Linked DNA regions of Caenorhabditis elegans. The protein of the gene in region 2 interacts with the protein of the main gene of each other region in a biochemical or structural test. Each region holds a gene or a part of one and is shown on either strand. Other genes may lie near its edges.

Region 1 (10,388 bases), 5.4 Mb from region 2:
TGGAAAGGAAAAAAAGGAGAAAAAGAGAAGAGAGGAACGCGCCAAAACATCATCATTTTCGGCGACAACAAAATGATAGTGAGTGTGAGGAGAAGGGCACTGTCAATTATCGATGACATTTTAGGTGGAAAAAAGTAATTTCTCTTCAATAGATCGGGGACATTTGCCTCCATTACTAGATCATCAGTTTACGCGAGAAGCACGATTGGAAGACATATACGAAGAGTAGAAATAAATGAGAGGCGCCCCGCGCGCGATCATCGAAAAGGGGGAACCCGATGGCGGTCACCAGAGCGGTGTCCGTCACCGATGAGGAATTGGAGAAAAGATGGTGGTAGTGGCCACCGCCGCCGCGCCTTCATCCAAAATAATTCATCGTAGATAGATAGAGAGAGAGAGAGACTACAAATCGGTTGTGTTGTGTTCTTCGGGCTTTCAAGTCACCGCATCGTTCCGCTTTTGATTGTCTATGTCTCTTCAATGCAACTTCGTTCTATACTGAATGTGTGTGTGTGCACGTGTAAGAGAAGTCGGTTAGGATATATCATAACATGTCGTTTTTTCCATTTTAACTACCGAGATAGCCACATGGAAAACATACAGCTCAGCTTCGAAATGTATTATACCACGAATTTCGGGACGTTAGGATCTACGTGATCTTTCATTTGCTTGAACTTAGGGCTTCCCTGGAAGGCAGGCGCGGTGTCAGGGCCTTGCGCCTGCCTTCAACCTACCGCCTTACGCCGGCCTCTTGTCTTATTTCTGCAATATGGCTTGAAGTCAAAGGCTTGGTGTTCCAATTACATAGTGCGAAAGGTAGTTCTTCCGCCGCGGCCGACACTTTTCGGGTCCACGCCACACCATACAGAAGGCGCGAGGCAGGCGCGGCAGGCGTTTGGCGCCTACAAGGAAGCCTTGCTTGTACTAATACAACATGGGCCTGATACATCAAAAATTTCCAGAAAGTCTGAGATCCAAATGGTAACTTGGAACTTTCGAGAATTCGTTTGTTTGTAAAAAAAATCCAGAAATAAGCTCCGCCCATTTCTTGGCTACTCAAGTTGATTCTCCTTTTTTGGAATATACATTCCTTGATCTACAGCTTCCAAAAAGCACGACTTGCCTCCGACATCAAGGAAGAAAACAAAAAAAAGCGAAAAGCAATCAGATTTCAATCTATTCTCGAGAATAAATAAAAAACACTAAGAGAACGAGGAGAAACATGTTAGTTGTCCGGTTTCGGAGAAAATTGAAACAAAAGCTGAATATGAGAAATTTCTATATTCAAACTTCCATAAATTTCACGAGTAGTCATAAAATGACGTTGTTGTCTGACAGGAGACACTAATCTTTTAACTTGACAACCTAGTCTCTTCGACCACGTCACTAGATTGTGCCAAGAAATTTACGGAGTCGCGCCGCTCTTTCTCGTGAGCAAGAAGAGAGAAGGGAATAAATAATAAAGCACCGACAACGAAAAGGAGTGTGTCTCGTAGGATGTGCTGGCGAGAAGAAGAAGCGGCAGCAGCAGCAGCAGCTTCGCGAATTAAAAAAACAGAATGACGAAGCAGCAACCACCTCCTCCGCATTGCTGAAACAACAAAAAAAGGAAGGACTTTTTTCCGAAGAAATGTATCTAAACCCATTGTGGGAATAAGCGAAACGAAACGAAGAAAACGAAATAGAAGAGAGGCATATTTCTATACTTGATGCGACGAGCGTTTTTCTCCGTGTGTGTTTATAAACGCACAGACACGCAATCTCCCGTTGTTTCAAATGTCTTCGAGTTGCTTCTCCAGACCGGTGTCATCCACTAGAGGGGCTTCTAAAACCGTTTTTCAACTGGCTATGATGATGATTAATTGGTGGAGCTCGCCGGAGCCAGAAGCGACTAACTTTGATGATGCTACTGATAAAAGGATGTGACGGATGAAATATGGGGTTTTCCAATAGAAAAGCTCGAGTATAGAAAATCAAAAATTCAAACTTTTGCAATTGCAGAGACGGAAAAAAATTTGTGGCCGAGTTTTACTTTTTCGCGGCCACGTAACATAAAAAAGGTGAAAAGTCTTCAAATTCCATGATTCTCAACTTTGGAGTGAATATTTTTGAAAGCCATCCCTGTTATATTTTTCCGAGAAGAAATGAATATTTGGGGAAAAAGTTGGTTCGCAAAAAAAATAGGAAGCCACATGTTTTTCTCGTCGTCGTTTTCTGGTGGCTCGGAACTAAACCGCAGAATTGGCGCACGTGTTTGTTTGTCTGTTTTCCTTCTTAAAGATTATAAAAAGTGAAACATGCAACTGAATGGTCACTACTTGTTGTTTCTATCCACGGAGAGACATAGACGGCGTCAACGATCAGGTCGTAGTGGGCCACAAAACGAGGACACAAACATAAACAAACTCGTATCTGACTGACTGGTTGAAGAAGGAGCAAAAAAGCGATACGGAGAGCGGAGAGATAGCGAGAAGGAGGTCATAATCGTGGCATCCTCACCCAACTGTATGCGGGACGAAGAGGAGGCCAAATTGCAACAATAACAAACCGTGATCGCCTCGTTGCTGCTGCAGCTATGGAGCGAGCGACGAGAAGACGGATGGATAGTATGGAGACACACCGCCCGTAAAAGGGAGAGAAGGAGAGAGACAGGAAGGAATGGACACTGTACGAGTTATATGCAGCGAGCCGATGGATCGATGGATAGTGTGTTGAATATTGAGAGACGCAGCAGCATGGCAAACGACACCTGCACGTGTTTGTGTATGTGTGTGGTACACCCTCCAAAAAGGGCCGTCATAATCGAAGAAGAAGATGAAATTGCCGAGAAGGAGGTATTAACCGGATCAACTCAATTGGCATACACAGGGAAGATTCGGGTACTTTTGATGTTGGAAAATGGTCTGGAAAGTCTAGATCTGGAGAAAAAGTTACTGTGCAAAATAGAGAACATAACTTGCTATATCCTGAGAAAAAGCATTGTATGAACTGTTGGATCTGATAGAATCCCAAAAAAACTTCAGTTAGACTGCTCGGTGGCTCAAACTTCACGTCAGCACTGTGAAATGAAAAGTTGAGAAGTCTTCGTCTAAATTTCCGCAATTCTCGTAGATCTAAGTAGATCAACCCGAAATGGGACACTCTCACACCAAGTGAAGCTTGCTACTCAGATATCTTTTACGTTATCGAAAAATTGTTAACTGATGTCTCTACAAAACTTTGAAAATCTAAATTTTTATAGCAATTTAATTGTACAAACCATGGCAGAATTAATTGAAAATTTAGAATTGTAAAATTACAATTCTTTCAAAAAATTGGTTAATCTGACCGATGGAGAGTTCTGACTACTAAAACCTACAAATATGGATACGATAGCCAGGTGTCCTTCATTTTCAACTTGAAAAAAAAAAGTTTTTCACATTACAAAAATGGACGAATCCAAAAAAAAGCGAGTTGCAGGTGTGTGCAATTATGACACAATGCCTCTTTTTTTGGAATGAATATTCCTGGAACTGAGCCAGTTATTGGCAGCCGGTAATTATAGAGGTCACAGGTGGAACCAGAGGACTTGAGATAAAATCTAGAGCATTAGAAAGAAGATTCTGGAAATTGCAGAGATTCGAGGCAGGGGTGGATGGGAAACGATTTTTCACGGCAAATCGGCAAATTGGCAGAAATTAAAATTTCTGGCAAACTGGCAGAAATGATAATTTCCGGCAAATCGGCAAATTGCCGGAATTGAAATTTCCGGCAAATCGACAAATTGGCAGAAATGAAAATTTCCGCCAAATCGGTAAACCGGTAAACTGCGAGAAATGAAAATTTCCGGCAAATCGGCAAATTGCCAGAAATGAAAATTTCCGGCAAATCGGCAAATTGGCAGAAATTAAAATTTCTGGCAAACTGGCAGAAATAATAATTTCCGGCAAATCGGCAAATTGCCGGAATTGAAATTTCCGGCAAATTGGCAAACCGGCACATTGCCGATTTGCCGGAAAAACGGCAATTGCAGAAAAGTTTCGGCAAATTGTGGTTTTGCATTTTGGAAATATGAGAATTTCAATTCTAATCGGCAAAAACAAAAATTGGCAATTCGCCGGAATTTAAAATTTCCGGCAAATCGGCAAACCGGCAAATTGCCGGAATTAAAATTTGCTTGAAATTTCTAAATTGCAAAAATAATTAAAATACCAAAATTTTGCAGAGCACTTCAAATTAAAAAAAAAAAAACTTCACAATGAAATGCAAGTTTTTAGGTTCAAATCAATTTCAATCTTCTCAATTTCATCTAAGAATTTCACTCAATTGTCTCACATAGACATTTACACTGAAAAGTGCGGACAGGTTATCAAAAAGTCAGTCAAAAGGACGAAAGCATTGGAGGTGCGTGATGAGAAGAGGCGACAACGACCACATAAATGATTTGGCAGTTTAGTCCCGGACGGGCGCCATCGTCGAATTTTAATTGGTTCCGTTGTCTCTGTCGAAGTGAAGGAGATGGAGATGGATGAAATATTGAACAAAAAATGAAAAAGTTGGTGAAATTTAGATTGCATTTAGATAGAGAAAATGAATATTTTTGGGTGAATTCTACTTCAAAAATTTCTAGGAAAAGTGTGTGTAAATACGGATAATAGGAGTTTTCAAGGAACACTGTCTAGGGTCAACTTCTCAAAAAAGAAAATAATAATATATTTTCAGAACCAATTTTAGAAGGACAAACTAGCTCAATTTTCGAGGTTTCTCGGCAATGTTACAGGCTTTTTCTTAAATAGAACAAAAATTACGCTTTGAATGGGAAATGCACCAAGAATTGGTGAAAATCCTCGGGGAGTACACGAGCTGCGTAAATCGACACGAGGTTTTTTATAGACTTTCATGGTTTTTTTTTTCAAAGTTGGGAATCATGAATCACACCAAATGTTACAAAAAAAAAGTATGTGATTTCAAATTTTTAAATTGAAACTATTTTCTCCTTTTGAATTTTTTTGTCAATATTCAAAACAATATTCAATTTTTTCAGCAATTTTTCGGGAAAAAACATTTAAATTTTTTGGCATTTTTTAGTGGAATTTTTTTGTTTTCTGCTACCAACAAATCTTAAAAGTATAAAAAATTTTATATTTTTCTCGCTAATTTCAACTTTTCATCAAAAATTATTGTGTATTTTCAGCAAAAAATTTATTTTTATTTGCTGCAAATTTTGCTGGATTTTTTTTTTGGTTTTTTAAACAAAATTTGATTTTTTTCAAATTTTTTTTTATCAATAGAGTGATTTTTCTTGGTAAATTTAATTTTAATTAAAAAATTTCAATTTTCTTAAATGCGATTTTTTTTCCAAAATTTTTTAGCAAGAGAGTAGTTTTTCTTGGTAAATTGTATTTTAATTATATAGTTTTAATTATCTAAAATTCAATTTTTCAGGTAGTAAAATCCAGTTTTCTATACGAAAAAGCAATTGAAATTTTTTTTTCAAAAGCCACTGGAAGTTGACAAATTCGGCAAATTGCCGGTTTGCCGGATATCAGATTTGCCGGAAATTTTTAGAAGGATTTTTTATAAGACGGAACCCTGAAAACTGTGCTTTTTTGATATTTTTTCCTATTTTTTTATTTTCATAGAATTTGCTTATTTTTTCGGAGTAAACATGTAAAATTGAGGCAATTTTTAGGTAAATTTTTTCCCGGAAAATTCAAAATTAAAGAGAAAACCGCACCTTGGCTCCGAAATAAACATCTCCTCAATCACAAAGAATTCCGAGAGATCATCCATCGACACATATGAGAGTTGATGCCTGAAAAAGAGCCCAAAAATTGGAGTCTCTGAGACTTTCATACATTTTCCGCTTCATATATTTCTTACTCGCGGGGATCTATCCACCAAGTTGTTCAACAAATTTCAAGAAACAAATATTTTGGATAAATTTTGTTGGAAAAAAAACTCTGGGGGTACACAATGAAAAACAGAAAATGATAAAGAGATAAATAACAATTAAAAGTGAATCCTAAAGAAATAAAAAACAAAACAAAAAAAGAAGAAGAAAAATCCTATTCACTATTAAAAGATAGAGTACCGAAATCAGATTCAAAATGTCCCAAAACTTTCGAATTTTATAATGAAAAGTTCCGAAAATTTCTCAAAAAAAGGTTTTCGCAGTTCAAAGTTATGGAAAAATTCGTATTTTCAGCAAAAAAATCAATTTAAGGTTTTTTTTTTGGTTTTTAATCTAAATTCGATTTTTTTCCAAATTTATTGTTTATCAAGAGTCGTTTTTCTTGGTAAATTGTATTTTAATTATCTAATATTCGATTTTTCAACTAATTTTCTACACCGAAAAGCCTAAAAACTTTCGGAACTTGTTGTTTATTTAATTAACACCTTTTAATACATAGTTTAATTAATTTAGATACATTTTCAATTGATGGGTGCACAAATTTTATATAATTTTGTGCGCTCTCAACGAGTAAACGCGTAATATATTACTAAAATATGCATTAAAAGGAAATAAAATTAAAAATTAATTCCGCATATTGATTTTTGTTTCGGTTTTTTTCTGAAAAATAAATCAAAAATTCTGATTTTCTTTGAAAAAATCAAAAATTCTCAGATTTTCTATGAAAAAAAAATTGAAATTTGTTTTTACTTTCCCGGAAAAATCGAATTTTTTAAAAATTTTCTCCGAAAAAAATCGGAATTTATTACATTTTCTCAGAAAAACAAAATCGAATTTTTCAAAATTTTCTCAAAAAATCGCTTTTCTCTGAAAAACATCGAAATTTTTTGAACCACCCTAAATTTTTTTTTTGAGAAATTTTCAGAACATCTCATTGCGAAATTCGGGTTAAATTTCGGTACTCCACCTTCAAACAAAAATTTAAAAAAAAATTAAAATTAAAGAGCATTCTGAGCAGCAATCTGTTCCTGTTCGTGAAGTTTGTGAACCAATTTCTGTTTTTCCGTATTGAAATAATCAGCGAACCACTTCAAATGTTCCCGCTTCTTCGCTGCTGTCATATATGGATTCTTGGATAAACCAACACAAACCAAATGCATAAAATGAGCAATTGGACCAGATTTCGGGATACCCAATGATGGTAAATGTCTCTCCAAGAATACGTGATCAATGAATGAAACATTCGATTCATCGCCCATTTTGAACTCATTATCGATTGGATATTCCCATTGTTTTCCTTTTGTTGTCCATTCGATTTGTTCTTCGAAAGAATTTGTTGGTCCGAATGAGCCGTTGGAAATTCTGAAAAAAAAACGGTTTTTTTAAGGTGGATAATGGATTTGAATGATCAAATAAGTAAAGAAAATTATAACATTTTTCTACATTTTTCCAATTTTTCTTTCAATTTTTCAACACAAAAAAATGCCAAATTTCATGAATTGATTGACTTGAAACATTTTCTATTTTTCGTTTTCCTTTTTTGAAAATCAAAAAAAAATTGTTTCTCGATATTAGTTATTTTTCCGATGTTTCAATTTTTGATTTTTTTAATTAGCTGAATTTATGATAATTTTTCTTCTTTTTAAATGACATTTTTATGTTTTTCATCATCAATATGAACAAAATTAGATAAAAAATCGATTTTGATGGTTAATTTTCTGATCCAATTTTTTTTTGGATTTTTTAGAAAACCGGCAAAATTTCGTTAGTTTCCGTGAAAAAAGGAAAAAAATATCGATTTTTATATAATTTACATAAAATTTCAGACAAAAATCACGAAAAAACGATAATTTCAGCCGGAAAATGCGAATATTTAAAACAAAATTTTTTTACAAAATTGAAAATATCACGCAAAATTTAGAAAAATCTTTCAAAATTTTTAATACTTAGTTTTTCTGATAATTCACTAGTTTAAGCTAAAATCTTCGTTTTTGTCAACTTTTTCGCACCATAGCGACTGGAAATTGTTTTTATAGAATTATGAAGAAAAAACCAACGAAACAACGTTAAAAATTACCAAAAATGTGTGAAACAAATCGCTGCAAAACGGAAAAATTGAGAAAATCTGAGATTTCAGCTAAAATTAGCAATTTTTATCAAATTTCGGGATTTTGAGCCATTTGATTTCATAAATATCTACCTTGCAGCTCTTTCATCCCATTGTTTCCAGAAGCCAAGGGAAAAATCTTCATATTTTTCGCCCTTTTTCCAGATTCCTAGAGGCTTCTGATTGAACAATTTAATAGCATCATTGTCAACTTTCACAGGTTTACGAACAGCACTACTAATCAAATCATCCTTGTAAATCTTTTCCATAAATTCCAAGGCCATCGTGAACAACTTCTGATCCTTCTCACTTCTCTCCGTCTCTTCAACTTCTTCTTGTTCCACCTTTTCTCTAACATCATTTAGAAGAGCTTTTCGCTGCTCTTGGAGCTTTATCTGTGCTTCATTGACAATTGTCTCTGATTTGACACGAGCTTCTTCTGTCGTGAAGCCACTTTGAACTGCCTGATAGAAAATCTCTTTTCTGAGAAGAACAAGTCCTCGTTTTTCTTGTCGAAGTTGAGCGGATCTGGAAAAAAAATGAAATTTGTCACGGATCATTGAAAATGGCTCACTTGGGAGGAAGCTTCTTCTCAACTTTGGCATCGCCCGCCACATCGGCAAGAAGTCCGATAAGTGCCTGATCATCGAGCATTTCACTGCTTGCAGAAGCTGCGGCAGCATCAAAACTCGCTTTTTCGTTTGCTACTAATCGATTGATCAATGTATTTTTTAGTCTGCAAAGTTATATTTGAATCTTTTTTATTATTTTTCACCCTACGATTTCTTTTCGGAGCCATTCTGCGGGTGAATATTATTCGCTACTCCTTCAATCGCATTCAGCAAATCCTCATCAATCGCGTCTTTTGCACCTTTCTGGAAGAAACTGGTTTAAAACTTGAAAAATGAGCCGGAAAACTTACACCATCATTTCCATCGCCCGAAGCTGCGCTGGACAGCAATCGAGGTTGTCTTGCACCGCCAAGTCGAACAGCTATTGAGCACAGACTTCTCAGCATCTGAAAAATCAAATAAAAATAATATTAAAGACTTAAAACTAGAAAATATTGACGAAAATTGCTCGAAAAAACAGCGAAAAACTTAAAAAGAAATATTGGCTAAACAACACGCGGGTGCGGGATTTCGGAGTATCGTCGTGTGTACTCCTCTCGGGGTTAGTTTTTTTCTTCTTTTTTTCTCCGTCTGCCTGCATTTTCCCGCATTTTCCCACGCCTTATCGCTATGTTTTTTTTGACAATTTGTGTTCTTTTTGATTAAAATGTTTCTTATCTGAAATCAAAATGTTATCATTAAATAATATGTAATAGGAAAAAAAACAGAAAAAAACAAAACATTTTTTAAAAAAGATTTTTAATTTAAAAATCAGATATTCTAATAAAAAGCCAATAACATTACGCATCTTTTAGAGTTCTTCTTTTGGAATTAATTGCCACAATTTAGATGTCCTCTACCCGGCCCACTGAAGCTGTAAACTTCCGATTTTCTTCTTGCATCCATCTCCAAACAAATTCCCGTAGAATCTAAAAGCGTTCGGCAATTGTTTATTCCTTTTATTGCAAGAGTTCTCTTCTTGCAATGAAATTGATCGGTCAAAACAAAACATGAAAATGTGCTGCTGCTTCCCCCGTTACTCAGCTCTGCGAGCCCTCGAAGCCGCCGGGCGGTGCTTTCTTTTTTCCCCTCAAAAAGTGTACGAAAGAGAAGGAAAAGAGTCCCAGTTGTCCAGTGTACTTGATTCTTTTTTTTTCGCCACCAAACGTCTTCAGAATATTTATTTTTTGTGGAGCTTCCTATAGAAAGCTCCCCTCCTTATTCATTATTCCGTAGGCGGATTAAATTCGAAATTCAACATTTAACCACAAAAATTTGAATATTGAAGAAGTGTGAATTTTCGTCTCACTTTCTTCTTTATTCTTATATCTCTTTTTCCGTGACGTCTCATCTTTCTGCTTAAAATAGAAAAAAAAGAAAAAGCGTTGTCTGTTGGGAAAAAGGTCGAAAAAGAGGCAGTCAGTTACATAATTAGGTTTTTGTTCAGCAGCTATTGGGCTCAAAGCCCTTTTTAGAGTTCTTTTCTGTCTTCACTCTGCAAGTAATCTGCCGTCATATTCATATTTTCTTCATATTTTCTTAGATCTACCAGTTTTCGCAGTTTTTCTTTCGAATTTTTAGCTTCGTTTTTTGTACTGATTGGCAGAAAAAATTTATTATTTCCTGTTTTAAGGATAATTAAAATTCGAATCGCTCTCACAATAAGAATTCTTTATAAAATAAATACTTCTCAGCGTTTACTTTTGCAATTTAAAGCATAGTTTTTCTGGAAATTTAGCTGAAAACATGTTTAAAGGCGAAGTAATTAAAAAAAATT
Region 2 (10,534 bases):
ACGAGGCCTTATCACAAAATCCACCATTTTGACAGTACATACTTCGTCCATCTGGATGATCTGCTGAGATTTCTAGAAAACAAACTGGTTGCTTGAATTCGACGGTCGATGTGTTCCCAGGTTTTAGACAATCCGGAGGAAGGAATCCTTGGGGACACACGCAAATGTATGTACCGAGCTGAAACAAAAAGTAAATAAATAATTGGATTTTATAGGTGGGATATCGGCAGTAGGCCGTCAGTAGTAATATAATGGCCAAAAAAATCAAATATCACATATAAATATTCTAAAAAATATTTAGATTTTTTGAAATTTTCAGTATAAATTTTGGCAAACTACTGATGAAATTTCGCAGCTCTACAACGTTTTCACAAAATTTTAAAACATGAAACTTGTTGAACAATTTTTTGGCAGTCTTCCAAAATCTCCAGATTCACTACATATAAGCGAAAACTGACCAGTGAGTGATTTTTACTTTCTGACAGTATGAACTTTAATTTCAATTTTCATTGCTCTACTTTGACAGCTAATATCTCGGTTTTCTTTAGCTTCATAAAAAATTAATTAATTAAGAAAAAAATATATATAAATAGTCGAATCATGTTTTTACTGTTAAAAATGTTTTGTTAAAACCAAAAATAACCGAGATAAGAGCTGTCGAAGTTGAGCAAAAAATACGGTACTTTATTTTGAAATTCGTTTAATCTTTTTTCCAATTTTTAGTCAAAGTTTTGGCAAATCTGAATTTTTAAAACTTTAAATGTTTACTTCAAATGACATGATAAACAGATTAATAGTGTTTGAATTAATGTAACTTGTTGTGGATTACCGCAAAAAACCTAGATCTATCAAGGTAATATGTTCTTGTGTTACATCATGATGTACAAACATTAACCGGAACCGTAAATTATTCTCCCCTTATTATTCATTTTCTTATAATATTTGCACGCCCTTGAATCTCAAATATTCTGAATCACATACATACACACGCACAAAACGAAGGGCGGCAAATTTCTTTGTCGTCACCCTCGCCCGGGCAGTACGCGCGTGTCGGTTCGCATCGCCAGCTGCAGAAAGGACTACGGTAATCGATGGGAAACTATGCAATTCTAGAATTGATCTGGATTTAGCTTCAGGCAACACTCTAGGGATGTTCTATTCAAATACCAAAAACGGTGTCATACATAGTTTCAAAACCTATTGTATTGGTAACTAAAACTTGTGGCACAAATATATATATATATATATATCAACCAAGGACTAATTAGTAAAGTTTTAAAAGTTATATAAATTGCGTTTTACGGATTCATGTCAAATCCTTATGTCGAAAAATAGAGAAATTTTGTTTTCTGTCCGGAAGTATCTATACCTTCAATTGGAATTTTAATGAAATTGCTGAAAACTGCCGCAAAATCGCAATGTGCCAAGCGTTATATGCCGATTGGCATTCTAATATTTTTGTCGGTTTTTGAGAAGCTTCCCAATTCTTACTATTAAACGTACAGATATTTTGCGATTTAACAAATATTGCTCTATATTTTTATATAAATTTCTTGCAAAAACTGACAAGAAGTTGGGTGTCTTAAAAGTGCCTACTCTATATTTTCTACATAATCATAAATTAACCAACCGTATTCATACAAGTACTCCTATTTCCACATGCATTTTTGTTCTCTTCACATTCATTGACATCAAGTTCGCATCTCTCCCCCTTAAATCCATCTGGACATGCACATTTTGCTCGATTTCCAGCTCCAATACACTGTCCACCATTCATACAGACAGACGGGTAACACCATCCTTGTGTCTTACAGTCGTCTCCTGAAATGCTCTACAGTAAATCTACAGTAATCCTTAGTTCGTTAATCCCTATATTTTGTGGTTTCCCACAAGTATCAAATTCGTTCGCAACACAAAAAGAGGCACGGCAGTTGACATACATCACATCAAAAAGTTTGCCGACGCACCATGACAAACTCATTACAATCTTTAGACTACTTTGTGAAGGTAATACCGCGAACAAAATAGTTACTTGTTAGAAAATTGGGTTTAATTGAAATTCAGAAACATCAAGGATATCTCGTATTTCATGGAAGTTCGTATACCGTATTTCTTTTAACTTTGACTGCTTATATCTCAGTTGTCGTTTGTCCTATTTGAAAAATGTCAACGAAACATTTTAATGAAACATTTTTAATTTTTTCTACAGGTTAGTACTTGGTTATTAATTGATATTCAAAGATGTACCGAGATATAACCTTTCAAAGTGAAGTAGTCACAATTTCTTTTCTGAATTAAAATTTTTTATTACACTTTTAAATATATACCACTGCCTATTGCATGCCAATTAAGACATATCTTTAAGATGAGACTAGGTGTCAATCTTATTACTAAAGGAAACACGCAACAGTCATGATCTTTTAGATTATATCAATCCGACAACAGGTGGAGCACCTAGTCTCAGTGGGGTTTCCTTTCGGGTTTGCAACTACTGTGGAACGTGTCAAAAGCCCCAATAAAAGTATACCGTAACCTAGAATGTTTTGAATCTGAATTCATTTCAGAATTCGTTTCCCACGACCTTCTATTATCAAGACGTCAAGAAGACGACCCCCAGTAATTATAGAGTCATTTCGAAGATGATCGGTGTTGACGGGAAAGTCATACGGCTACAGTAATCCTGTCTCTGTTAAACTAACTATGCCCATCAATAATCCGTTAAGTTTGCTCAAGTGTACTGTGACGTAATCGGAACCGATAATTACAGGGCGCTATTAGTGGTTTGTTACACTTGTTTGTTCGGGTTATTGTTGCATTAGAATATGGAAGTACTTACCTCCGTAACCGGATGGACAGCTTGGTTTTAGTAGACTGTTTCCGTTAATGTCGCAATCTGAAATTTACTATCATAATTATTCTGTATATTAGAAAAAGTTAAGTCTAGGATATTTTTGTGTTGAACTGGAATAATTATCTGAATGAATAATTGTACTACAATAATCACAGTTCCCTACAGTATCCTGCATTACCACTACAGTACACATACAACATGTATCCACTAACCTCATTCCAATATCCTTTCAAAAAACAAAAACACTTTTTCAGAAACTACAGTACTCCTACATTACCCATATGAACTCAAAAGCAGACAGTTATTTTTAATATATAAATTGATCTATCCCTGTAACCATTCCACTTGTATATTTGCTTATTAGCCTAGTCGTACAATAACCAAATGTATACTTTCCCACGTCTGCCACTTCTTCTCCGACAGACTTCTGCTACATCAAATCCTATATACTATCATCATCTGCTCATCATTTCTAGGTCATTTATCCCACTTTTTCCCAAGAATTGGCAACACACACGAGGCGCCATCGGGTCGTCGCCCAATTCACCGCCCTCTTCACACATACCGAACATCAGACATAAATCGCGCCAAAAAGAAGCGCATCGACAATAGAGAAGCGCGCATGAAACAGAGAGGCTAGGAGGGGCAGATGACCTAGGAGCTATCTATCAGGCACCTTACGCGGTCACTTTTAACGCCGCCAACAAGACAAATGAGCTGAAGAGAAATGGAAAAAGATTGGCCGCGCTTCAATTTGTCCTCGATACAAACGAGTCATGATGAAATATTGAGGTGTTTGGTTGCCGTAACTTTGTTAAATATCTACTAACTACAGATTGATGAAGTTTGGAGCAATACTCATAAATGGTTTAACGGAAAACGATTAGTAAAATTTTTGAAAGTTGGGAATGGTAAGCGCATAAAGTTTAAAGCATAGTTTTCGTAAGCTTTCGAAATATGAGGAAATGCCTGCCTGGCTACCTACAAGGCAGCCTACGTCTGTTTCGCATAAATTACACATGTAGCCACAAACTTCCAATCTTCTAATGTCTTCAATTTTTGTTGAATTTTCAACATCAATCTACAGCAAACTACAGAGTTCAAGCTAACATTTAAAAAATTAGACGGTAGGCCGGCAAGTCAGCGTGAAGCAGACATTTAGACCTGTATACGCGTTGCCTATAGGCCTATTGCTATTATACCTGTGATAGCTTTAACAATGAGTAAGTAAATTCTTATTTTTTAATCTTCGAATATTTCGTTTAGTCTTAAAAATGATACAATTCCTAGTTTCTTAACTTCCATTGAATTTTCAAATCCACCTATTCACTTTCAAATTATTATTCACCCCCAACTTTGTCAGTTGTTTGCCACAATTCCACCAGGCATGTGCTTATGATGGATGGTGTGGTCAAAAAGATGACCGACAAAAGGGCGCGCGCAGCTGACCCTAGTTTTGGAATTTTGGGCCAAAAAAACATTTCATTCGCAACACCGCCACCATGGAGGGCTAAAAAAAATGAGTGATGGGTGTTTAGGTCCCTATGGGAATTGGGCAAAAAAGTGACCACTACTGGCTCATTGGTTTTGCAGGAAAATGAGATGCAATGGGAAGTGTTGTGTATAAGTTATTCAGCTCGAAATTACATTATCTTACCTTTACAGACACAGGTCTCCATCCGATAATCTTTGTCAAAAACACATTTCTCATCGGCTCCACATTTTGAAACATCACACTGTTGTTCACAATATTCACCACCAAATCCTTCATCGCATCTGAAACATTGGGAAGGGTTAGGGTTAAAGATTAAAGACGTCGTGCAGCCGAAAGGCACCGTAATCCTATTGTTTTATGGTTTTATGACAACTGATGGTAGGCTCACTCGACAGTATGTTTTGCCGACAAAACTGGGAACACGGCTGTAAAATTGTGAGGTGGCAACTGAGTCCTCATTTGTGATAAGATAAGCAATTTTGAAGACTATTCTTTTTCTCATTCAAAGTCTCAAAATGCCGAGTAAAAGTGGCATTCGTTGCAGTTTTCCGAAGTTGCCAATTGAAAGTAAAGCAATTTTCAGAAAGTGCAAACATTTTTCTATACTTCTATTTAAATTTTCGGGAAAAACTTTGACAGATAATACATCTGATAGGGAGTTCAAAACCAGCTACAGTAATCTTACAGTAACCCCCCATTGGTCATTTCTTTTGGGAACTTGGTCATAAATCCTACCCCATTCTTTTTTGTTTGATAAGAAAAATGTGGAAGACCAGTATTTTTTTGTCATTAAGAAGAATTCTCCCCTCAATTTCCCGTATTTTTCGGTTTTCCCATGGCAATAAACTACCGATTTGGGTGATTTTTTGGCGGCGGTGCGAGACCAGGAGGGGGAAAAGCTGCTTCTCTTTCGCATTTTAATGAGAATCTCAGCGGGTTAATTGCCTGGTTTTTCTTCGACTTTGAGACGAGAATTGGCAGGAAAAAAATGGCTGAGAATTGCTTTTCTGAAGTTGATTTATCCAAAACCCGACTTTTTCCAACTTTCCCATAACACCCTGAAAGTATTGTTTTTACAATATTTTCCCTCACTTTTTCCCAAAAAAATTGAAAGTTTTTTCTACAGCGAGGGACGACGCAGGTGTCTCCTCTGTGGGGTTTTTTCTCTCATTACTCGCTCATTTCTCTTGTTGCGCAAGTTTCGTAAATGGTGGGAACCCGTGCGAACAATGTCCTCCTATTAATTAACATCAACTATAAATTAATGGTGTGTTGTTCAAGTGACACGTGTCTCTACTTGAACCATATCACCTATCTTATCAGGAGCTAGCTGCTCAACGGAGAGCACATGCCGCTATAAATCAAGACGGATTACGTAATTATTGTTTGAAAAGGGCATGGATTATGGAAGAATAGTCTACTGGTACAAACAATGTTTTGTTATAATTTACAGTACTTCTTTTACTAGTATTGCACCTAGCTACTTAACTTTGTAAAGTTATAACTCGGTTAATTTCAAAGATATAAAAAGAATTGCCGTATTTCCTCTAATAGTCTTGAATAAAAGAATAATAGAGGAAATACGGTAACTACAAAACGGTAGCAAGAGAAATAACAAAAATTTGGTCAGTTGACAATTTTGTAAAGGAAATCCCATAATTCCTAGGAATATTCCTTACCCCCAATTTATTGCGTATTTTTAAGATTAGTTTTCAAAATGTGTAGATTTGTATTATTTATTTTACGTTGAATTAAAATTTGAAAAAATGTTTAAGTATTGTTAAGCAAAATCTTCACATACCTGCACCAATAAGAAGTTTGAGTTCCATTGACAGGTCCAGCATGGCAGTGACCATTTCTTCCACATATTAAGCCAAGACATGAGCCAATATGAAGCGATTTTGATAACGAGATAAGAAGAAATAAAAAACAAATCGTAGGGATCCGCATTTTTTGAAATTGAGCAAAGTCTGTTGAGCAATAGGGCGGACAGAGACAGGAAATTAGCTTTTAGATATGGATCATGTAGGTTCTGAAAATGGTTTTGAATTATTTAATTTAGTGAATTCGTTGTTTGAAAGTTGACGACAGTAAAACGGTATAGAAATGCAAAGGATCGGACCGTACTAATATTGCACCCCTGTTATTTAGTGTTGACAGCTTATATCTCAGTTGTCATTTGTTCTAAATAATAATTGTCAGCTGACAAAATATTTTTTCCATTGTGCAGAAAATCAGTTTTTGATATCATCAAAATGAGCGGAGATATTACCTTTCAAAGTAAAGTAGTGAGTTGCAATACTAAAAGAGGAATACAGTCATCGTCAACTAACAAACAAGGGCAAAATAGAAGGAAACAGGATCAATTCTTAAAACTATAATACTTGGCTCGAAACATTTTAAATATTTCGTGAGAGCTGTAGGAATATATTATTACCAATAAACGAAACCTAATAAAACCCAAACCTGGTAGCTTTTGCATTATCATTAATTAAGGATAAATAAATGCCAATCAAAAAATGGGTGGCTATTGTTATGTCTTCACCCAGTAAAAAGGACGAGAGAGGGCGAAGGGGTGGGGGTAGGATGAACACAAAAGAGAGAGAGACAGATGGCTCCGCCCAACTTGTTGCGGTCGCGGTGCGGCCACCAAGTAGACTTTTTTTTCATCGAGAAAGAAAAGGAGGAGAAGATGATTTTAAAATGAAACGACGATGTCAGATGGTTGGATGAAGTAGAAGTAGGAGGAGGTGGAAGAGAAGAGAGTGGGAACGGAAGGAAGAATGATCAAGATGAGGAAAACGAACTGCTGGGAACGTATGGTGATTTGCGGCTTTTGGGTCTTTGTGTGTCAGTTTTAGAGTTTTATTTCTGTTTATTTCTGTTTATTTCTGTTTATTCGGATACTTTATAGTTTTTAGTTTTATACATCAATACTTGCAAAAAATTTCTAAGCTTTGTTCAAAAAGTAATATCTTGGTTTTATCCATTTAGGAACAACTGTAAGATTGTATAAATGATTTTTAGCCATTTTATAGGCGGAAGAGATTTTTCATAGCTTTTCCTGTTCAAAAGCTGAAAGAGCTTGAAAATACTAAACACATCGAGTAAGAATTAGAAAAAAAAACAAATCAAAATATTGAACACGCTTTTTCCAAGGTGTTTTCTAATCTCTCTATTTGAATTACCTCCAAAACGAGAACTGCATGGCCAATCAGCAATTCGCTCTGCCCATTCTTCAACCAATCAGATTAAGTATGGAAATTCCGAAGTCGCTAATTGGTTCAAAAGTGGGCGTTTGTTTTTGGCGGGAATTCAAACAGATTTGATCATTTTTTGATTATTTTTTTAACTGTTTCACACAATTAAATATAACCTTATTCTCGACAATTAATTGCTATCTGAACCAAATTTGTTGCAAAAATTCACGCATAGTTGTTGCTACCAATTAACTACTATTTTCCCAAAACACGGAAATGATGGATGAGCCAACAGGAGCACAGGTGTCTGTTACTGTGGTGTCATATACATGTGACGTGACAATCAACCGGCAACTTTGAACTGTCGTCGACGGATTAGTCTCAAGACCTCTTGACTTGATTTATTGGCATGGGAACCCGCCAAGGAAAGGTTTCAAAAATAACAATATTGTTAATAAATGAGTGTAACATTTAAGAAAACATTTAAAAATGGCATTAACAATAGCTCTATAAAAACCTGGTTTTTTAGAAGGCCGTTATTAATTATCAGCTTTGGTGGTATTTTGTTTTAAAATAGTCAAATCTTAAAATTACCACAAAAAAGATAATAGGAAATCTTATGAAAATGAAAAAAATGTTGCTGAAGAAAATTCAAATTTCCGTTATATTGTGAATGGGGCTACCTTGTTCTCCTACTTTTATTTGCACAAGTGCATCATCATCTGTGTCCTTCTATCTCAACCATTCATGATTATTTTGTGTTTTAGTTGATTTTTTACTGATTGATCATGCATCTAAAAATAATGGGAAAATGTTTTCAAAACTAACCTTTTAGTGGGAAATTGTGAGATTATTAGCGTGGGCGCATGCCTCCCCAAAAAATGTTGTTATCAACGTACGTAGTAGTAGAAAAGAAGCCAAATGGAACAAAACGAAAAAGAAAAAGAAATCGAAAATATGAAACAAATAGAAAAGAATCAACATTTCGGCACAAGATGGCAGATATTGAATATTGATTGATTCAGGTACACTTATACAATCTCCAGTTGCACAGGTGGAATCGTCATATTGGACAATCTGGCAATATTTATATACACGAAGACCTTTGTCGATGGTTTATTGCTAATTCGATTACAATTTTGAGTCATTGTTAGGAAAGTAGAGGTTGCAGATGTTTATTGATCATTTCATAATTTTTATTAAAAGTTTTTTTTCTCTTTTCTGAAAATTCAATCCGATTTCAAGCATGCTAACTTTGAACATTTTTAGATTTTTCTAAATTTTCAGTCAGTTTTGGTAATTGAACAAATTTTTCAAAATGACTTTCTGAGACATTTTGAGCCATGTCGCAGAAACCCTTACAATGCTTGAATATAAGCCTTTGAAATATAATTAAAATTTTAAAAAATGATGGAAAATCCATTTTTCATTCTTCTGGCCAACTTCCGAAATCATGATATGGAAAAACAGAGTCATCTACACTTTTCGACTGGAAATGAATATCTTAAGATTTAAGATTTGTTAAGATTTCGAAATTTACTTGAATTATAATGTTCAACAGCTTTAGCACTAGAAAATGATATTTTCTCATTTCCCACTGGTGTTACTCCAAATTAAGTTGAGCATAATAACTTCTATCATTTGATACTTTGATTCAAGTACGGCTCCTTCGAAATTTCAATGCATAAACTCGCAAGTTTAGAACTCCAGAAAATGTATGAGGTTGGTTAAGACCCCAATTTCTTCTTCCGGTTTATTTGTGCACAATGATGTAACACGAGAGAGTGTTACCATAACTTTTCTCGACTTTATACATTAATCTACAGTAATCCAACAGATACGTGTTATGTTAATCCTTCCGGATTCTGTTCAACATATAGTGAACTGACTGAGTTAATTTTTAGGGCAATAAATCAATCTATGTAACTGTTTGAATGAATCTATAAAACTTGGGTTGGAAACTTGGGTATTTGACATTTTTTATGATTTGCCATCATTATTTAGAAAGTGCTTCAAAGAATCACCGCTTTGTTATTTATGAAGAAAAACATTTTGACCTCTTTAATACCACAAATATTTATTCAAAAATATTATTCAAAAAAGAAAACCGGGATCATACTCTGTAAAAGTGAGAAATAAAACATCATATTTCCAGTATTCGTCTGCTCCCTACAACTCGAACAGTTCATATCGAAATTTATTAATTTTAATAATGTTTGATAAAAAATTGAAAAATTTTCAAAAGAAATGCCGGGAGTGAGACTAATAGAAGAAATGCGACAGATATCAAATTATATACAGTAAATCGATTTTTTTTCATGCTCCGACACCAGGCGCATTTTCATTTTTCTTTGACATATCCACAAGTTCCAACGATTTATAGACTTGTGACTCAATCTTCTTCCCATTTAACTTCTTCTTTGTCCATTTGAAAATAGTATCAGCAATTCCACTGATTAGCAAGAAGAATAAGAAACCAAGTAGAACAAGAGCACAGCACCATTTATCGATTTTTTGATTGTATTCGGAACGGGTGTGGTCGACGAGACAGCTTCCTCTGAAAAGTTATATTTCCTATTGATTGTGAATATTGGAAGGGGAACTAAAGATTCAATGAATCTAAATTGAGAAAACACCGAAATTTCCATTGAAAATAAACTTACTCTGGGCAGAAATAGTGTCCAATAATCATGAATCCATCTCCTTTGTGATAAAAGGTCTTATTAAGATGACTAACCCAATCCAGATTCGTTGTCACCGGCATAAAATCAGTGGAATTGAAGAAATTATCAATTTGAAACTCGACTCTTTCCACTGGAACATCAAAATGTCTTGAAATCTGTGCAGTGTTCTCCATGATACTGTAGTATTGCATTTCATTGTCACGGAATGTTACGTGGCAGTAAGAGTCACAATTGATGACAATAAATAAATGAAATTGCGAGATTACGGTAGGTAGAGTGAAGATCAATATAAGCACAATCATGA
Region 3 (10,355 bases), on a different chromosome or scaffold from region 2:
AATAACCCCATAACTTCCCGAACCAATAATTTTCGGCAATCTGCAAATTCCTGAACTTTAGCAAGTCGGTAGCCGTGCAGGTCTTAGTAGACATGTATCGAGGCAAAGAGTTACCGTATACCCGGTAGAAAAAGGTACTCAGCATATCAAAAGTAACTCGTGATATACATATGATCGAATCTTCCCACGCTACGTGAGTCGGCGCAGTCTCGCGGTTTTTTTTTCAATTTTCGTACCCTTTTTCGAATCGAAAAACGAATTTTTTCAGAATGAAAATCGGATCTCTCTCTCTAAAAGCTACCGTAACCACATCTAATTGATACCCGAGATGAGAGAGAGCACCTGCCTGCTCGAAAAGAACCAAAACATTAGAGCCTATCTGTGTATGTTGTAAGTGTATCAATTATGAACAAATATTGAGTGGTTTGTGTTCAACTAAATAAGAGCTTGTTCTCGCCACCTGTCTTCCTTTTATCTTTACCTTTTCTCATTTCCATATGACTTTTGGGCAACTTTGGCATGGAAAATCGATATGACGCATTCGTACTTCTCCTTGTTTGACAAGAAATCAATCATTCGATCGCTGAAAAAAAATATTATTGCTAACATTAAATCAATTTTTTTTTAAAAAAACCTTGTTAACGATTGAACAGAATCTCCAATCAAACTGTGAAGACTTCCGAGTTTCGCTTGAAATGCCAATTGATAGTTGGTCATCGGATTGGCAACCACTGTTGACGGAGCTCCAAAACTTGAATTTGAAGTGTCCAGGAATGATGATGTGTTTGGAGTTGACTGCCCGATTGTGTAGAATGGATCAGCTGGAAATTAAATAGAAACTTTCAGTTTAAAGCAGATTTAAACCAAGTTTTATCAAAAACCCACCAAATTTGAATATTCCGCCCAAGTTTTTTGAGATATTTTCTACTTGACCGCTGGAATTTCTAGAATTCTTACGGTCGTACGCTTGAAATCTATTATTCTTGAAAGCATTTACAAGCGAGGCCGTAGTAGAAGCCGTTGTAAACGAATTGAAATCAAAATTGAATGGAATTGAGAAATTCGGAGGCGGAAAAGTCGGAGCAAGCGGTGGTGCCACGGAGCTCGGTGCTTCGAGATTCGTGAGTGTAACACCATCAGATGCAGTTACTGTATTGCTAGTGGTACTAGATATCACACTAGTTGGCACATCATTGGAAGACGACGGAGCCCCACCAACCCCATAGTAATAGGGATAATACGAATAGTACGGGTTGAGCATCGAGAGGAATGTTCAATGTGGGATGGGATAGAGGTAATACAATAGGGATTGAATAAAAACCAATGTCTGTGGCCTTGTCGTTTTAAATATGAATGTGTGTGTGAGACACAGGAGAATGATAACGATGTGGGTGGCGCCCGGTCTTTTAGCCGCCACAGGAGAGCCGTTGTGCATAATTTTGATTCTTTTTTGGTGTTGCCGCGACGTGCGCCCATTATAATAAAATAGTATTGGCACACAGTGCGGAACCCTTTCAGTGAGACCTCAAACGAGATGCGAACTACTAGTAAAATTATTTATGTGAATAGTTTATTACAGACTGATAAGGGTGAGAAATTCGAAAAATTATCACATGATAATGGTGTTAGGAATGTTTTGACTTTATAGATTGAGTTGAGCTATCTCAGAACAAGTTTTTAGGTTATTGTACTTGTTATACTAGTTCTATCAGTATTTCACTTCATTTTTAAATAGCTTACATCTCTGTTGCGAAAACTACAATAATTCTTCAAGTGACTACTGTAGCGCTTTGTCTATACGAGATATTTCGGCTAACAAGTTGCAAAATACGAATTCTCAGAATTTACGTAATCCAATTAATACCTCGTTTATTACTAATTTCACTCACCAAATGCTGGTTGTCCTCCATAACTGAGAAGGTGGCTTGGAAGTGGGGAATTGGTAGAGACGACAGTACTGCCAAAGTTATGATACGTGGGTTGCATTTGCATTTGAAGCCACGCGTCTGTTGAACTGAATCCCTGTTGTGCTTGTGGAGGAGGTGGTGGTGGTGGAGCATGATAGTAATATGCATCAGGAGTCGGATAACACATTGATGCAGCTGCACTTAGAGAAGATGATGAGCTATCATATCCACCAGATGATACCATATCAGTTAAACTTCTCGATAGAAGTCCATCATCACAATATAGATGTGGATGATGATGCTGATTGAGTGATGCAGCAGCTGCAGCAGCCGCCGCCGCGGCTACTGTAGACGCTGTCGACTCGGAAGAAGCTACCGAAGACGACTGATGATAATCCATCCCGGAGTGTCTTGGCGTTGAGGGCGACGATGGGACCGATGTGGATGGGTGGCGCGTGAAAGTCGAGTCTTGAAGGGGGGTCTTCGCGGTGCAGAAGCCGCTCTCGTCGTGGGATATCCGATGCGAAGATTCCCACCGAGAATAGTAGAAGCTGAATATTGTGGGGGAAAAACCGACGGTGGGGCTGGCTGTGGGTTTGTGAAGAACGAAGCCGTCTGTCAGCAAGAAGAGCACACAATGAAAAGGAGAGCGGGTGGGAAAACGAATAGTCTCCTCTCCTTTCCTTTCCTCACTTCGGTTTTCTTCCTTCTGCGACTCACAATCGCCACGCCTCCACGAAAACATTCTTTCTCTTCTTCATATAGTCTATAGCTTTTTCTGATGGAAAAGCACACAGAAAGACAAACTGGTAGATGGGCGGAGTCAGAGTATCCAATCAGAGAGAGAGAGCGTTGAGCTCTTCGGATATTTCATGACTGAATAGGTGAACGCTAATTGAGTGGCATCTGGAAACAAAGACGTTCAAAATTGAACCATCCTAATATAGTAACGGTCGCTTTCATTCACTTTCACTCATTTACATTAAATCTTAATCCTCACTTGTTGCCTTCCCGATGTACCATGTGTATACACAGGTGATCTCTTTGTTGCGTTCCGTCGTGGTGGTGGTGCCTCTCATCACACGAGAAGAGTCAAGAAAGTTATGGGATAACGATAAGACAAGAGGATCTCAAGTGATTCATGAGTGTGAATCTTCGTGTGAAAATCGATGGGTTGGTTGGTTGGGGAAAATTCTCGGGGGATGACTGATAGGGAAGAGTGCACATTCAGATATATGGAAAATCGGAATTTCTGGATTCTTGGAGACATCCGAATTAAATCATATCTGTCGAGTCAACCTACAAAGGGAACTTCTTACTATCTTCTCTATTGACTAATACACCTCATTTAAATTGCACTACGGCCATTGTCCACTGTGTGCTCAATTCAAAGAGCATGATGGTACCTCCAGGCACCTGTCGACCAGGTACAGTACTTTTCCTTGATAGCTCTCTGTCTTTGATCTATTTCATTCTATCATTATTCGTGTGAAGTGAACCATCTGCGTAACTCGATTCCTTGTGGTCTCTTGTCAAATAGAGATGAGCACCAAAAGTTCCCACATGAATATGGACAACTATGCATATTTTTATTCACTTCTATATTTATTTCACAGAACTGTGTCGGTCTCTTCCTTTTTGTTTTCCGTTGATTTCCAAATCATAATGAAAACAAGTTCCCCATCAAGCGATTCTCGAATTTTTCGTGCTTCGAGAGAGAAATCATTAGAAAATCAAGAAATCGTAGAGCTCCACACAAGAAGTCTAGGGAGAGCTGAGCTGAGCCGTCGGCACTGCTCAAATTATCGATCGACGTGGGAAAATTCGACGGGAAAAGAGAGTGGGCTTATGAATTAGCCACCAGTCGATGCAGCTAACAGAAGCACACGCGCGCTCACACTCTCACCATTCGGCGGTTTTCAGTTTCCCAAATAACAAGGGAAAGGGAAAAATTTTGAGGGAAATTTCAGTTGGAAGAACACATTTGCAAGGGAAAATCAGAAAAATGTATCTGATACGACTTTTTTTTGGGGGGAAAAAATGGTCTAGAACATGAATTTTGAAAGTTTACATATTTTTTAATTTTGAAAATTTCCAAAACTCACAATTTGTCGGCGAATTTTTCGACTGATCTTGCCCATTTGTTCCTTTCGAAGTTGATGCGACATCACTGTGGCTACTCGTACTGGGAGAAAGTCTCATTCGTTTTGCCGATGGAGATGCGAGTTCTGGAGTTGGCGATTTCTGAAATTGATATTATAACATTTTAAAATATAAGAATTTATTAGTGAAAACTAACCGATATAGTGTCAATTTTGGGAAATAAATTATTCTGCTGCATTTGAAATGTCATCAACGCTTGTATCTGAAATAAAATAAATCAAAAGTTGATAAAAATATCGAATTTTTGAACTCGAACACAATGGGGTGACAATCAATAAATGCAGACGTTGGGAAATTACAGGTCATCTCCGTACGCCTTTTTTGTCTATTTTAAATTATTTTAGATTCTAATATAGTTCAAATAACTAATAATTATAGTTTATAAAATTTAAAATTGCCCAAAATATTGAAATTTGAAAAATTCTTAGAAAAATTTCCAGTTTGTAACTTTTTAATGAATAAAAAACTAGGAATTCAAAAATAGGAACTATTTGGGAAATACAAATTTAGAAAATGTTCTCTTGAAATATTGATGCAAGTTTATTTTCAACATTATATATCTGAAAAGTGAGTCCCAGCGACAATACGAGAAATGTTATGGGAGAAAACTAAAGGCTTTTGTGAATATTTTTCGTGCTTCGGGGGACTGGGAAAATTGATTGATTCGATTAGAAATGATTTTGAGAAATTTTGTGAGAAACGGTTTTTTCTGAGAATATTTAAGCAAAAAACTCAAAATACATATCTAAAAATGAATATTCTTATAATATGAAAGGAAGGAAAAAAGGGCCTAATGATAAAAAAAAATTCGACTTTTTGGAAGTGACCAAAATAGAGCCCATTGTTGAATTTTTCCGTAGGGATTTGGGATTTTTAATATTTTGCCGCTGGTTTCAGCGACTTTTTAGCGAATAGTTCAGTTCTCATTTTTAGGTGTTTTAATTTTAAAAATACTACTCCATGCGCCGTTTTTTTCTTGAAAATCGGAAACTTATTGTCAAGTTTTTTCGAAGGGGGAGTAGATTTTTTGAGTTTTTGCCGAACTATACAAAAGCTGGCCTGAAACGAACCAATTTCATAACGAAAATTCTCAAAAAAAAAACCGGCAATTTTTTGAAAAGTCTCGTTATGAAATTGAAAAAATTGAAAAAATTCAGTTGTTTCGGGCGAGTTTTAGTTAATTTGACCAAAACTGTAAACTTTAATACCCCTTTAACTGGGCAACATGACATTTTTACTTTCAATTTTTTATTTATTGCTGTAATTTTGATATTTTCCGAATTTTTAGAATTTTCTGATGATTTCTACTACCAAAATAAATCAAATCTCACCTGTTGAAGTGCGGCAATTTGGCTCGGCGCTGCAGCGACACCGGCCAGCGGCGATACCGACTGGAACATTGCTTCTGGAACTCAATGATACGTTGTTTGAAATTTCGATGGATTGATTACGAACTTACCTATAAACTTATCCAGATTTCGTGCGGGTTCACCCAGTCTGAAAATTAAAACTTTAATAAAACTTCATGGAAATTATCCAAAGAGGTTTTTAAACAATTAGAGGGACGTGTCAAAAAGGGAGCACCTCCGAATATAATGCTCTCGGAAGAAGAATGAAACTGCCGGGGAGACACATACACGAAGAATCGACAAAATCGGGAGGTGTGCGTATGTTTTATCACTTCTATTCCCACCACTTCGACCTCCGCCTCCGAATCGATCATTAAATTTTGTCGTCGATTCGGAGAAAAGAATATCGGTAAGGAAGCAGAGGTACGGTACTTGTGCGACAAAACGGAGCACCCACACATATTATATTCGTATACGAGAAGAAGAAGTTTGATGGGTTTCGGCGGGATTTTTATGTCGGAATATGGTAAGAAACAAGAGATCGGACAACTAAAAAAGCAGGAGTGTGAAGCTTTGAAACGAGAATAGAAGATCCACGGAATCACTTAAATCTAGTATTTTCAGATTGAAGATGAAATTCTGAGAGAATCCGATCATGAAAACGATTATATTTGAAGCGAATACTGTATTTTTTTCAAATGTTCTTCGAGTTTTAAGTTTGAAAATGACAAAATTTTGAGATTTTCAAACAGTTTTTTTCAATAATTTTTAAATGCATATATGTTTCTTTGATACTGTAAAAGGTCATAGATGAGTACGAATTTTTGGGAAAGAAGAAATTAGCCTTCGAAATCAAAAATAAAATTTTGAGACGAACAATGCTAATATGGAAAAGAAGAGCAAAAAAGATTTGAAAAATTGCGGTAAAATCTGATTACAGAAAGAAGCTCGAATTGAATAAATTTCTCAGAATCGAAAAAGTGCGTTAATTCTAAAGTAGAACAAATTGCTTTGAGTCGGATAACTGATATAACGAATTGAATGCTCAAAATACTTTCCTTTCGACCTATCGAATGCTCCAATTCCATGAATTCTAAAATTTATCCTCAAATCTGAAAAAAATGCACTCGCAATTATTTTATTTTTTTACAAACAAAATACACACAGATTTTTTAATTTTTTTTGTATCGTATATGTCTGATATCTAATTTCGCCGCCCTCGTTTAAATGTGTTTACAGTTATAAGTTCCACATTTATCACCACTTTTTTCTCTGCAAAAACACTTTTTTGGTGATGAAAATGTGAAGAGACCGACCTATTTTTCGTATTGTACATTTTTGTGTGATATGTGGATTGGATGCGCAAGAGGAGGAAGAAGACGGTTACAAAATGATGATGAAAATTGCCATAAAACAAATGATCTACGACAACGGGCGGGATGAACACTTTCTTTTTTCTGACTTTTCAACACATCTTATTGCAGAAAATATTTCCACGCCCAAAGCCGAGAAAATGATCAATTTATCGAGGGAAAAAAAAGAGTATTGACTGCGTGAAAAACAGGTTTCTAATGATATCAACTTGAACCTGCAGGGGGATTCCCCCGTTTTTATTGGTGAGACAGAAGAAACGTGAGAGATTGTGATGATAAGAGAAGAGTAATTAGAGAAACAAGACAAATTATTTTTGGGAAAAGAAATATGACATCGATCAGATGATTGTAATCAGCTGGAGAGTAGGGTCTTTTTGATTTCGAAATTGTTCAGCACATTAAAAAAAATTGAAATTCCTATACAGTTGGCTGGCCGCTTCTGGATTAAAAAAAAATTTCCTTATTCTGTACTACCGTTATTTTAGAGAAAGGAGGAAAATTTCCAAAAAGTACTAAAAAGCCGATTGGAACACGGAAAATCACACCCCAGATTGAAATGGGGTCTATTATCGAATTTTTCTGATCGGATACTTCCTTTACCTTTATATGTATAATTTTTAAAGATCTAAAAAGGGAATTTATGAAAGAAGACAAGAAAATTGAAATACGATAAAGGGGGAACGAACTTTCTTACTTTGAGTGAAGTCTCGTGTTTTTTAACTTTAATTGTTCATTAAAAAAGAGAGTTTTGGATTTCTGCGCAACTTTTAACAATTTTGTGTCTTTCCAATAAAAAAAAAAGAATTTTCTTATTCAGCTCAACAACTGCTCGGCTTGAAAAAACCTCCTTATTCAAAAAGTCAATCACACAACTCCTTTTTTGAACCAACCGACACTCTCTCTCTCTCACGCCTAATAACTATTTTAATCTCCAATCTAATCGGACACTTTTACCACCTCTAATGCACCGAGAGATTCGGATTGTGTGTCGGTGCAGGTGCAAAGTATGGAACAATTTATAAAATTTACAGTGAAATAACGACGATTCGAGTCTCTAATTATTACAGTACTAGAAGCCAGTGAAGAATCATCAACGGTCGTCAAGGAATAGGTGATGAGATAGGAAAGTGTTGCTGCTGCTGCACACAAACACGGACACATAAAATTGTTATATTGAATAGAAAAAGAAGACGACGGGGTCATGTTGGGTAATCGGTAAAAGAGGAGCTGCTGGAGAAGGTGTGAGAAGAAACGCAGAAAAAGTAAACATAAAAGAAAAGAGAATCAAAGAAGAGAAATGCAACATGTATCCACGAAAAGGTAATGTTCCTTGGAATGGTTGATAAATAGGCGAAGTTTGAAATACGAGAGGATGATCTTAGAGGTGTGAAGGATTGGAATAATTCAAATTTTTTGTACAATCTAATGAGGAATTATTATTACCCAGATCGTGACGAGACCTGCCTTCACGATTCCAGCTTTAATATGATTACGATGTAGAAAATTCAAATACTGGCATAGAATATATAACTAGTTTTCAAATTCTACAGAGAAAATATCGAAATCAAAAACTGAAATTCCAATTTGTATCCAAATAAATAGCTCTTCAAAAATCAGGAAAAAGCATCTTTCAGATATTTTTTTTAATCAAAAAATTCGACCGTCACCGCGTCATGTGCGAAATTGCCCAGAGCATCATGGGAACCTCAACATCAAAACATTGAGAAACTGACTGGTACTGACCGCCGCCGTCGCCAGCGACACCTCAGTCATGACATTTTTTGAAAATGTATACCAGCTAAACAAATATGGAAATCAGTGTGTGACTGGAAAAAAAGAACCGCCGAGGGTGGCGTCGGTGGGAAAATGTCCACACAAGACGGCGCGGCGTAGAACGAACGAGAATATGGGCGGGCAGGACGGCGGGTTCGGTAAAATAAGAACTGTGTGAGAAATATACACGGGAAAACTATGATAACAATTCAAAGTTGATAACAGGAAGAGAGCAAGAGCAGGAAAGTTCTCCGTTGATTGTTGATATTTTGTCAATCAAGGTATGATTCTTTACGAATTAATGGAAAGCTTTTAATTTTTATTTTAGGCTTAGTAATGTTGTTTTCTAAGCCTAAAAATGAAAATAGTATTAAAATGAACATTCACGTGAGAATTAAATTCGAATAATTCAATGATTGGAATATTCTTCTGAAAATGCGGGGTAGAAAAGGAAAAGTACCAAAATAATTTTTGAATGTCGTATAATCATCTGGAATCTAGAAGAAGCATGCCTGTAAGTTAGGCTGTAACACCGAGATACGAGAATCTAGTCAACTTTAAAAGTTACTGCAATTTCTTAGTACTTTTCAATCTTCCCACCAGTTGGGGGGGTTTCCCAGGGACGCATCATCTTGTGTGCGTATGTGTTGTCTCTTCATTGCCACAAAGACAACCCCCCAACCACACCGAAGATTGTTGTATTCCCACAGAGACGCAGTGAAATAAAGAACCAAAGTCATTGGGAAACTTTTAGAGAGACAGTCCGTAGGAGTGCCCCCAGTCTCTTATCACTGATCAAGAGGTACTGTAGTTCTAGTCTAGCTCCTAGACGAGCTAGAAAGTTCGGAGAAAGCCTGGATGGAAAAACAAAATGCTTGAGAGAGGAACGTGTGAAAGATGGAATATCGTGGGAAAAAGCGACGAGTGGGAAAAAAAGGTTGGCCTTGTGGGCTGTGTCGGTGGTCGGTCGGTTGCGGGGCCGTTTGCAGACGATGAAAAGAAGGAAAAAAGAGAGAGGAGAGAGAGGACACACTTCTCAAAATGTCTGCGCATCTTCATCTCATATACTATTCTTGACAAGTAAAGAGGGACGGCCTCCGGGCATTCTCTCACACTCTCTTTCACTCACATATACACAGACAATGTGTGAGAAAGGGATGGCGAACTGGCCGTTGAAAAGAGAGAAAAAGGGGAGGGAACTGGTGTGTGTGTGTGTGTGTGTGTGTGGTGGGAAAAACGAGCGTGGGAAAGTGTCGGCGGTGGCGGCTGCGACAGAGGACGATGACGGAGAGGACGCCGGACAGGATGGACGTAGGAAATAGTAATGAAACTGGAGAGAATGATGGAAACATAGAACGGGCACGACCTTTGTCGTATGGGAAACTGACGGTTCCAATATGATACTCCGAACTTTGGAATTATCATGCTTTTGGAGATTTTTATTGGCGATTTGAATATTGTAGAACTTGTAGAAATTAAAAAAAAAATCAGATCTGATCCGGAAAAGCAAATTCCTGGCAGTGCGGAATGTAATTTTCCAAATATTTCGGTCCGCTTTTTGTTTCCTGAAATCAGTACGTTTCGTGTTTTTTTTTCGAGACTCAGCTTGGAATACAATATACAAAAAGAAAACCTGAGACTTCGCAAAAAATTTGAATCTAGAAAGAGGGAAATCTTGTTCAATAGCATCAAATGTGCTGACCTAAACAGCTGCAGTTGGTGATAGTTTCATTTTCATTGCTCTTCAGATTTCGGATAAATATTGAAAAAAAAATCCCCATTCTTTTGAA

Evidence for each region.
Region 1: the proteins of lin-12 (region 2) and sel-8 are reported together in a solved structure, tested with the Caenorhabditis elegans proteins (one study listed by BioGRID).
Region 3: the proteins of lin-12 (region 2) and lag-1 are reported together in a solved structure, tested with the Caenorhabditis elegans proteins (one study listed by BioGRID).

What each region holds. Positions count from the first base shown.
Region 1 is NC_003281.10:3,621,349-3,631,736, forward strand, and holds the start of sel-8 (Protein lag-3), read right to left. Parts: upstream 5,795-10,388; 5' UTR 5,773-5,794; coding exon 5,717-5,772; intron 297-5,716; exon of another isoform or gene 172-296; intron 1-171. Other genes in the region: mrps-31 (Small ribosomal subunit protein mS31), read right to left, coding at 6,892-7,255, 8,094-8,528, 8,575-8,736, 8,781-8,875, 8,923-9,018. UniProt on the Caenorhabditis elegans protein: glp-1/Notch and lin-12/Notch proteins promote signaling by recruiting lag-3 to target promoters, where it functions as a transcriptional activator, probably as part of a complex with a Notch intracellular domain (NICD) and the transcription regulator lag-1.
Region 2 is NC_003281.10:9,065,093-9,075,626, forward strand, and holds the start of lin-12 (lin-12/Notch intracellular domain), read right to left. Parts: upstream 6,381-10,534; 5' UTR 6,297-6,380; coding exon 6,148-6,296; intron 4,628-6,147; coding exon 4,509-4,627; intron 2,894-4,508; coding exon 2,837-2,893; intron 1,822-2,836; coding exon 1,631-1,821; intron 179-1,630; coding exon 1-178. Other genes in the region: F02A9.7 (CX domain-containing protein), read right to left, coding at 9,863-10,103, 10,210-10,532. UniProt on the Caenorhabditis elegans protein: Essential signaling protein which has a major role in many developmental processes; involved in cell fate decisions that require cell-cell interactions. Probable membrane-bound receptor for putative ligands lag-2, apx-1, dsl-1 and osm-11.
Region 3 is NC_003282.8:6,096,634-6,106,988, reverse strand, and holds the start of lag-1 (Suppressor of hairless protein homolog), read right to left. Parts: upstream 5,402-10,355; intron 4,273-5,401; coding exon of another isoform or gene 4,207-4,272; intron 4,152-4,206; coding exon of another isoform or gene 4,013-4,151; 5' UTR 2,653-4,012; coding exon 1,890-2,652; intron 822-1,889; coding exon 635-821; intron 584-634; coding exon 482-583; intron 1-481. UniProt on the Caenorhabditis elegans protein: Transcriptional regulator that plays a central role in lin-12/Notch and glp-1/Notch signaling pathways, involved in cell-cell communication that regulate a broad spectrum of cell-fate determinations.